Linked DNA regions of Saccharomyces cerevisiae S288C. The gene in region 1 interacts genetically with each later gene. Each region holds a gene or a part of one and is shown on either strand. Other genes may lie near its edges.

Region 1 (3,447 bases):
TCATCTTAATGCCCTTTTGTGTAGGAAATTGAGGGAAGTTTAGGCTTCTCAACATTTTAAGACGCCTATGCAAGGGCTGGTAGGACAGACATGCTATTCTTATTTTGACGTAGAAATAACGTAGTTAAGATTGAAGAGGAAAGAGGTATTCTATATACAATAAATATCAGTGTCCGTACTTCAGATCCCTGAAAAAGTTCATCATACCGGTAAAAACCACCAACATTAATGAACCACCGGGTGCTAGTCTACATACTTTGGGGACGAAACCTTTGTACAATGCTCTGAAGCCTTCTTCACGGTATATGACCAATAGCGAAGGTAGGCACCAGTTGTATTTTTTAACAGCACTGCTGACCGCGTCCACACTTTGGATTCTGGATTTCACCACGTCAAAGGGAGTGTTAAGCATGGTCCCGACCGTACCACCGATCGCACCTGCAATAAGGTCATTTCTGGTCTTTTGTCCCTTTGTCTTTGCTACGGGCATGGAATTTCTCACTTGGTAGATAACACCGAAGTAGCCACCATTCCAAAGAGCGTTTCTCCACATGGTAGATTCGATACCCTTGTATAGCCCCATAATACCTTCGTTTTTGATTGTTTTTTTCAAACAGTCCATTGGTCCAAGATAGCTGGACTTGACGTCTTGCATCCTGATTTTGATCAATTCAAATGGAACAATAACTGCAGCTTCTGTCATACCAGCAGATGCACCAGCCGCAATGGAGATCTTCTGCGTAGTTTCATTCGTGTTGAATAGGTTTTTGAAGATTTTTTGATATTGATCGTTACATGCAAATTTGGTGGCTCTCTTTGGTGCTTCCATCAACATTGGTGAACTAATACCTCTGTAAAGTCTGCTAAACCCTTCCTTCTTTACAATTTTTTTCAAACAATCGATGACACCATTATATCTCTCTACTTGCTTTCCTACTGCAGCGGCAGTAGGCGTCGTCACCTCCAGTTGAAATCTTGTCTTAACAACATCAAGCGGATACATAACAGTTAACTCAGAAATACCGGCGACGGCACCTGATATGAACTGATATATAAAAGGCAATGGCTTTGCGTTTGAGTCTGATGACATATTACTTTGATGCTACCTCGAATTACTTGACTATATAGAATCTAACCCAGTAAAAAAGTGCAGAAGAGCTTCAGACTGAAAAAACGAAGAGAACGTTTTATAACAGAATTACTTGCAAATGCATGTCGAGTCGAAAGTGATCGCGACTGCACTGAGTCATCAACAACAAGATCTTTCGAGATAGACAGGCAAAAAAAGCTCACCACGAAAAAACTGAAAAAAAAAAAGTTCCAGAGGAATTTGCCTGGCATAGAATAATAGCATTCGTAGTACCACTATTTCATGTTAGAAATGCACAAGCAATTGAATGTCAACGACAGAAGAGGACTAAGTAGTATGCAGAAGAACTAGAACTCCTATCTGAGAAGAACTAATTGGTCAACCATGTCTCATTGTCCTTACATTTGATAAATGCCGATCTTCTAAAACAGTAAACACACGTTAGCATCGCCTTGTGTTAACGAAGTAAAAAGGCTTGCTAAACCGAAAGTACACAATATGCTTGTCTTGAGAAAGTTGGAAGAAAATTATAGGCCCTTAAATATACTCAAAATGCAGAAAGTGTCATCTTCTTACATGGCATTTTTTGGCCGTATGACAAGGCGCATTTCAACCTCCGATGGAGGAAGTAAACTGAGTATCGAACTCAAGGGTAAAACAAAGCTTACCAGTAACTTGCTGCATATTAGAACTATTCAATAACGTACACTGAGGGTAGTAACAAAGCGTTTTGCACTTTTCTGATCGTGGTACACATATATAAGCGTTTGTATGAAGCTACTAACCTTCCCAGGTCAAGGGACCTCCATCTCCATTTCGATATTAAAAGCGATAATAAGAAACAAATCAAGAGAATTCCAAACAATACTGAGTCAGAACGGCAAGGAATCAAATGATCTATTGCAGTACATCTTCCAGAACCCTTCCAGCCCCGGAAGCATTGCAGTCTGCTCCAACCTTTTCTATCAATTGTACCAGATACTCTCGAATCCTTCTGATCCTCAAGATCAAGCACCAAAAAATATGACTAAGATCGATTCCCCCGACAAGAAAGACAATGAACAATGTTACCTTTTGGGTCACTCGCTAGGCGAGTTAACATGTCTGAGTGTTAATTCACTGTTTTCGTTAAAGGATCTTTTTGATATTGCTAATTTTAGAAATAAGTTAATGGTAACATCTACTGAAAAGTACTTAGTAGCCCACAATATCAACAGATCCAACAAATTTGAAATGTGGGCACTCTCTTCTCCGAGGGCCACAGATTTACCGCAAGAAGTGCAAAAACTACTAAATTCCCCTAATTTATTATCATCTTCACAAAATACCATTTCTGTAGCAAATGCAAATTCAGTAAAGCAATGTGTAGTCACCGGTCTGGTTGATGATTTAGAGTCCTTAAGAACAGAATTGAACTTAAGGTTCCCGCGTTTAAGAATTACAGAATTAACTAACCCATACAACATCCCCTTCCATAATAGCACTGTGTTGAGGCCCGTTCAGGAACCACTCTATGACTACATTTGGGATATATTAAAGAAAAACGGAACTCACACGTTGATGGAGTTGAACCATCCAATAATAGCTAACTTAGATGGTAATATATCTTACTATATTCATCATGCCCTAGATAGATTCGTTAAGTGTTCAAGCAGGACTGTGCAATTCACCATGTGTTATGATACCATAAACTCTGGAACCCCAGTGGAAATTGATAAGAGTATTTGCTTTGGCCCGGGCAATGTGATTTATAACCTTATTCGGAGAAATTGTCCCCAAGTGGACACTATAGAATACACCTCTTTAGCAACTATAGACGCTTATCACAAGGCGGCAGAGGAGAACAAAGATTGAGAAAGAGATCAAAACTGCGAACTCTCTCCACTCCCAGTCTGTGCTTCTACGCATTCATTGAAAATGGAAAGAGGACGAAAGTGTGCAAAAAATTAGCCAACTTCCCTTTATATAAATATCGTATACACATACATACATTCCTTCTATACTAATCGCTCTTGGATACACTAAAACAAATCCCTAATGCAAACATACATGTTATTATGCCATACAAAGTAAACACGCAAGTATATAAACGTATAAATGGATATATAGATATCTCTACGCATATTCTTTACATTATCATAGCATGAACCTTTTTCCCTTTTTCTGCTTTGTCTAATTTATAGTATTAGTTATGCTCTAGTGCTCTAATGGAAAAACTCGTTAACCGTTATGCTTGGACTTTTTGGAGGATTTGAGGCAGTAGCGTTTACATCATTTTCGGTACACGATGCAGCATTACTTCTAGTAGAAGTATCAATGGTCAATCCTAGTGGCTTAGAGGCGAAAAGGCATTTGGT
Region 2 (5,629 bases), on another chromosome or scaffold:
TTTTACGATTTACTAAGTTCACCTTCTCATGGCTTTGGAGGGATTGCGGAAAAAATATAAAACAAGGCAGGAATTGGTCAAAGCACTCACTCCTAAAAGACGGTCCATTCACTTGAACTCCAATGGTCACTCCAACGGAACTCCCTGTTCAAACGCAGATGTTTTGGCTCATATTAAGCATTTCCTGTCATTGGCGGCTAATTCATTAGAGCAACATCAACAGCCTATTTCAATCGTCTTTCAAAACAAAAAAAAAAAAGGCGATACAAGCAGTCCTGACATTCACACAACATTGGACTTCCCTTTGAATGGCCCGCATCTATGCACTCATCAGTTCAAGTTGAAAAGATGCGCAATCCTTTTAAACTTATTGAAAGTCGTTATGGAAAAATTACCGCTAGGTAAAAACACTACAGTGAGAGATATCTTCTACTCCAACGTGGAATTGTTTCAAAGACAAGCAAACGTAGTCCAGTGGCTGGACGTTATACGCTTTAATTTCAAGCTCTCTCCAAGAAAATCCTTAAACATTATACCAGCTCAAAAGGGTTTAGTTTATTCGCCTTTCCCCATTGATATTTATGACAATATTCTGACATGTGAAAATGAACCAAAGATGCAAAAGCAAACAATTTTCCCTGGTAAGCCCTGTCTAATTCCATTTTTCCAAGATGATGCGGTCATCAAGTTAGGGACAACAAGTATGTGTAATATTGTAATAGTGGAAAAAGAAGCTGTCTTCACCAAATTAGTAAATAATTATCACAAGTTGAGTACAAATACCATGCTCATTACAGGTAAGGGATTTCCAGATTTCTTGACAAGGTTATTCCTAAAAAAACTAGAACAATATTGCTCCAAATTGATATCGGACTGTTCTATATTTACCGATGCGGACCCCTATGGGATTAGCATAGCCCTAAATTATACTCACTCGAATGAACGCAACGCTTATATTTGCACGATGGCAAACTATAAAGGAATTCGTATTACGCAAGTTTTGGCACAAAATAATGAAGTGCATAACAAATCCATTCAATTATTGAGTTTGAATCAGCGCGACTACTCCTTAGCCAAGAATTTGATAGCATCTCTGACTGCCAACAGCTGGGATATTGCAACTTCACCATTAAAGAACGTCATCATAGAATGTCAGCGGGAAATTTTTTTCCAAAAGAAAGCTGAAATGAACGAGATTGATGCCAGAATTTTTGAATACAAATGAATAAGAATGGGAGCTGTTGCTTTATAAAAAATGTTTTTCAAGAATTGAAAACGGTTACATTTAAATATTATATAAATTGAAATCTTTGATAATGAATACTAGTCCAAAAAAAAATACAATTTCAAAAAAATAAATGCCATCTCCTAGAATCGAACCAGGGTTTCATCGGCCACAACGATGTGTACTAACCACTATACTAAGATGGCATATGATTTTACAATGATTCGATGGTGAATGAGTTATAAGCCATGTAAGGATCACTAGTCTTTTTTCTTAAGTAACTTTTTCGCTTGTGATATCTTGAAATACCATTAAACATAGATAAGCTATTGAAATGTGAAGAAAATTCAAAAAAAAAAGGGAACAGAGTCATCTTTTGGGTAGAAACTAAGCTTCAATGGATGAATGTTTACCCAATTCATGTCTACTAGGTGTTCACCTCGTCATTTCAACGCATTCGGGGCCACAAATAGTTTATCACTACCCACCCTCCAATACAGCATTTCTAACAAATAATCCAACGAAGCATCAGCACCTCTATGGAAACCATGCAAATCTAAATAAAAACACAAGTACAAATAAAGAAGAAAAACTCTTTAATTCTGGCTCTACGAAAACAGCTTCTCAAATTGCTCTAAACGAGTCAGCGAAAAGTTACAATACCGCTATTACGCCATCAATGACAAATACTAATACTAATAATGTGACATTACCTCCAACTAGATCGCATGCTAATACTGTAGGATCACAAAGTTCAATTCCTGCGGCTACTAATGGTGTAGGTTATAGAAAAACCGATATCGAAGATACTTCTCGGACTTTTCAATACCAAGAAACTGAATCTGAAACGTCATCATCGGGATTAAGTGACAGCGAATTGTCCACAGACTACTTAGACATTTCTAGCGATTCGTTTTCTATATCTTCTTCCTTATCGTCATCTTCTTTATCTTCTTCTCCCTCAAGTTCATCCTCATCTTCCCCTCCGCAAGATGGCTTATCAAGAACTAATTCGAGTTTCCAATCTACGGATTCAATGTCTCCAACTTCACCACAAATGATAATGGAAAACGATAGTATTTCAGTAGCGGAATCATATCTAGATTCTGGGACTAATAACAAATCAAGGGCCGCTTCCAAGAGATCCCAGAATTTCTTCCATAAATTGAGTACCAAGAAGAGTACTGATTCAAAAACACATTCTCCAGTAAGAAAGCTTAAATCTAAGCCATCACAAAGCACTAAAAAAGGCAACAAACTGTTAAAAAATACGTCCAATGAGACTGATGGAAATGCTTTTACAGGAAGTTGTTCAATTTCTTCTAAAAAATCTTTATCGAGTACAGGAGAGCATAACCAAGAACTTCGTAATAGTAGCCTGAACGACACTCCTGGCCAATCACCTCATCATTACCACCATCGTTACCACCATTATCATAAAAATGCCGCGACGAGCCAACGAAATTCCCATACCCAGTACGATGTTGAAGAAGAAGACATGGAAGTTTCGGCAATGTTGCAGGATGGTAAAATCTCTATGAATGAAATTTTTTTTGAAGAGGAAAACTTCCAGGATATAAATAAAATTCTAGAATTTGATAATGATTTTGTTGCAGAATTTTGTAGCCCTGAGAGGGAAATGTGCAATACCAGATTCGAATTCACGGTGGATAATTTCTGCTTCTTAGGCTTACCTATTCATGTAGATTCTCAAGGCAGATGGAGAAAATCCAAGCACAAAAATAAAACCCGCTCTAAAAGATCTTCGAGTACTACAACAAACATCAGTAGAAAGAAATCTATCGCTTCCAAAATTTCATCACTGAGTGAGAATACTTTGAAGAAAGTTAATAGTGGTGAAGCTGACACTGTTTATGACAGTAATATTGGTCATGAGGCTTCTACTGATACGCCGAATTTGAGGATAAATACTGATGTCAGTGGAAACGAATTTGAGAGAGAAAAGGAAGACTTGGGCAAAAATATGAACATGTTTCATGTATGCTTTGTTATGAATCCGCATTTAATCGAATATAATAAAAGGATTGATGACATGTATCAGTTTGTTGTTACAAGGTTATCATTATTGTTAAGATATGTGCAATCAAAAACCTCGTACATTTCTAGCGAATGCCATATAATTTTAAAGGAAAAAGAACGGGTACTGAAACATTCGAAAACATACCAATCTATAAGAGGCGCAGGAAACAAGGGGAAGTATCTGTACCAAAGAATTTTAGCCAAATCTTCGTTGGCTAGGGCGCTAACGGAATGTGTTGATAAAATCCAACGAAATGAAATCGCATGTCTTGAGATCAATGACGATAAAGTAATTTCCTTGCAAATCCCGATTCAAAACGAGTTTGAAAAAATGCCAAACTTCAAACTGCAACCCGTGCTAAGAGGCTCATATTTGACGTCCATTTTGAACATGAAATTTTTAGAAAAATCATCATTGAGAATTGAAAGTCAAAATCGTCAAAACGATCAGGCTCAATTCAGTGATACCAATAATAACATATACAGGTTTGGCAATAATATTAATAGTACCGGCCACTGTGGAGCAGCAAATGTGGATGACGGGGACGACAATGAAAGCAATTACTACTGCGACGACAATGATGACCTTTTAAACTATGCGCTATTATTATTGGACGAGCCAAATAATATTATTAGCTCCCTCGAAACTTTTTCATACCAGGACGATATTGGCACTATCATATTGAAACATTTAGTCAGAAATATCCAGCCAAATATCCCTCTAAGGTCGTATCGCTATCTGATAACTGATTTATTAGATAACCCTTCTTCACTGGACGACCTTACTACAGAAACAAACTCATTGGAATCAAGCATACTGCGCTCTTGCGCATTGCATTTAATGTATTGGAGACATGCAAGAATAGTGATCCCACTAAGCTCCAAATACACGTATATTGTTTCACCCTTGGCTCCTATTCAAGGTTATACAATAGATGATTATAAAAGTACTTCACAAAATGATGGGAACGTGAAAAAAATGGACGATCGCGAAAATAATAAGAGTGGAAGCGACAGAGTACCACTAATTTATCAAAATTCGATGTTGTTCAGATCCAAATTCCCATCATTGCCCAGTTTACCCATTTTTTTAAGTTTGTTGTCCACGGACAAACCTCAAGCGTACAGTAACATAATCCCATCAAGGGAACATAAGCCAGTTTACCTGAACGCGTTAGCGTGGTTAATACAGTACGGGTATGTAACCCAATTATTGACTTTCATAAATATCCGAGTGGACAAACACATAAAAATGGCAGTAGATGAGGATCTAGAAAAGGAAGGCTTCCGTAAGACTAATACTGCTAGAAGGCCCAGCATGGACTACAAAAAAACTGATAAAAAGCTGGATGATGAAGATGGGCAAAGTAGAGATGCAAACGCCAGCGAAGCGTGTTCAGGAAAGAATGAAGGCATGCAGTCCAACGACAACAACAAAGATGTGGACGAAAAAGATAACGAAAATGATAGTCGTGTTGATGATCGTGATGACAATGAAATAGCTATTGCGGATGAAGAAGAAATACTACACTTCGAATACGATGATCCAGAAATGCAACATGACTATACTATAATTTTGGAACCTGAAAGAGCCACTGCGATTGAAAAAAGATGGCTTTATAGATGTATTTATGGTCAGCCTTCAGATATCCAGATTCTTTTTAACAAGTTGCTCAAGTACTTCAATGGAAAGGTCCCCATGGAATTGGTTATCATCAAAGAGGAAATTAGCAGACATGACCTAAAGAAATTGCTCAATGCTCTAGATAAGTATTTAATCGAGATACACCATTGGTAAATCTCTCTATTGTAACAAAATGTAAGTAAAAAAAAAAAAATCTACCAAAAATTAAAATATGTGTATATAAGAATAGACAAAAGGAAGAATATATAAAAGGAAAAAAACATTTCGAGTGACTTGTAATCAAAACTCGAAAGTATGTATTGTTATATTAGGAGACAAAGAAGGTAAAAGAAGGAAAGAAGGATGAAAACAATACCAAGTGAAAAAAAAAAAAAAGATCCAGAGAAAAAAATAGGGAGACGAAAAAGAAAACGAAACTGCACTTTTAAAGTTAACATCACCGCTGAATTACATACATCTTTTGCAGCTTTTACGACCAATCATTTTTAGTAATCTAAACTATAAGCTTTGTTATCTTCATTTATGTCACCAGTATCGTTTGATATGAATTCGTTCGCATGAACATGGGTACTGCCATGATTAGCAGCATGTGATTGGCTTACATTTATTGGAGGAGGGATCATGCTTCCATCTAACCCAGAAGGCGGAGGTGGTGACATGGGATAAACCATCATATATGGATGGTGATTTCCAGCAGAACCTTGAGAAGGATGCAATGG

The links.
Region 2: mutations in MCT1 (region 1) and NPR3 together harm fitness more than expected from each alone (negative genetic interaction), as found in Saccharomyces cerevisiae (2 studies listed by BioGRID).

The regions. Positions count from the first base shown.
Region 1 is NC_001147.6:755,973-759,419, reverse strand, and holds MCT1 ([acyl-carrier-protein] S-malonyltransferase), read left to right. Parts: upstream 1-1,861; coding exon 1,862-2,944; downstream 2,945-3,447. Other genes in the region: ODC2 (mitochondrial 2-oxodicarboxylate carrier), read right to left, coding at 167-1,090; RCN2 (Rcn2p), read right to left, coding at 3,295-3,447. UniProt on the Saccharomyces cerevisiae protein: Involved in biosynthesis of fatty acids in mitochondria.
Region 2 is NC_001140.6:58,557-64,185, reverse strand, and holds NPR3 (Npr3p), read left to right. Parts: upstream 1-1,622; coding exon 1,623-5,063; downstream 5,064-5,629. Other genes in the region: SPO11 (DNA topoisomerase (ATP-hydrolyzing)), read left to right, coding at 29-1,225; RIM4 (Rim4p), read right to left, coding at 5,396-5,629. UniProt on the Saccharomyces cerevisiae protein: Component of the SEA complex which coats the vacuolar membrane and is involved in intracellular trafficking, autophagy, response to nitrogen starvation, and amino acid biogenesis. Mediates inactivation of the TORC1 complex in response to amino acid starvation.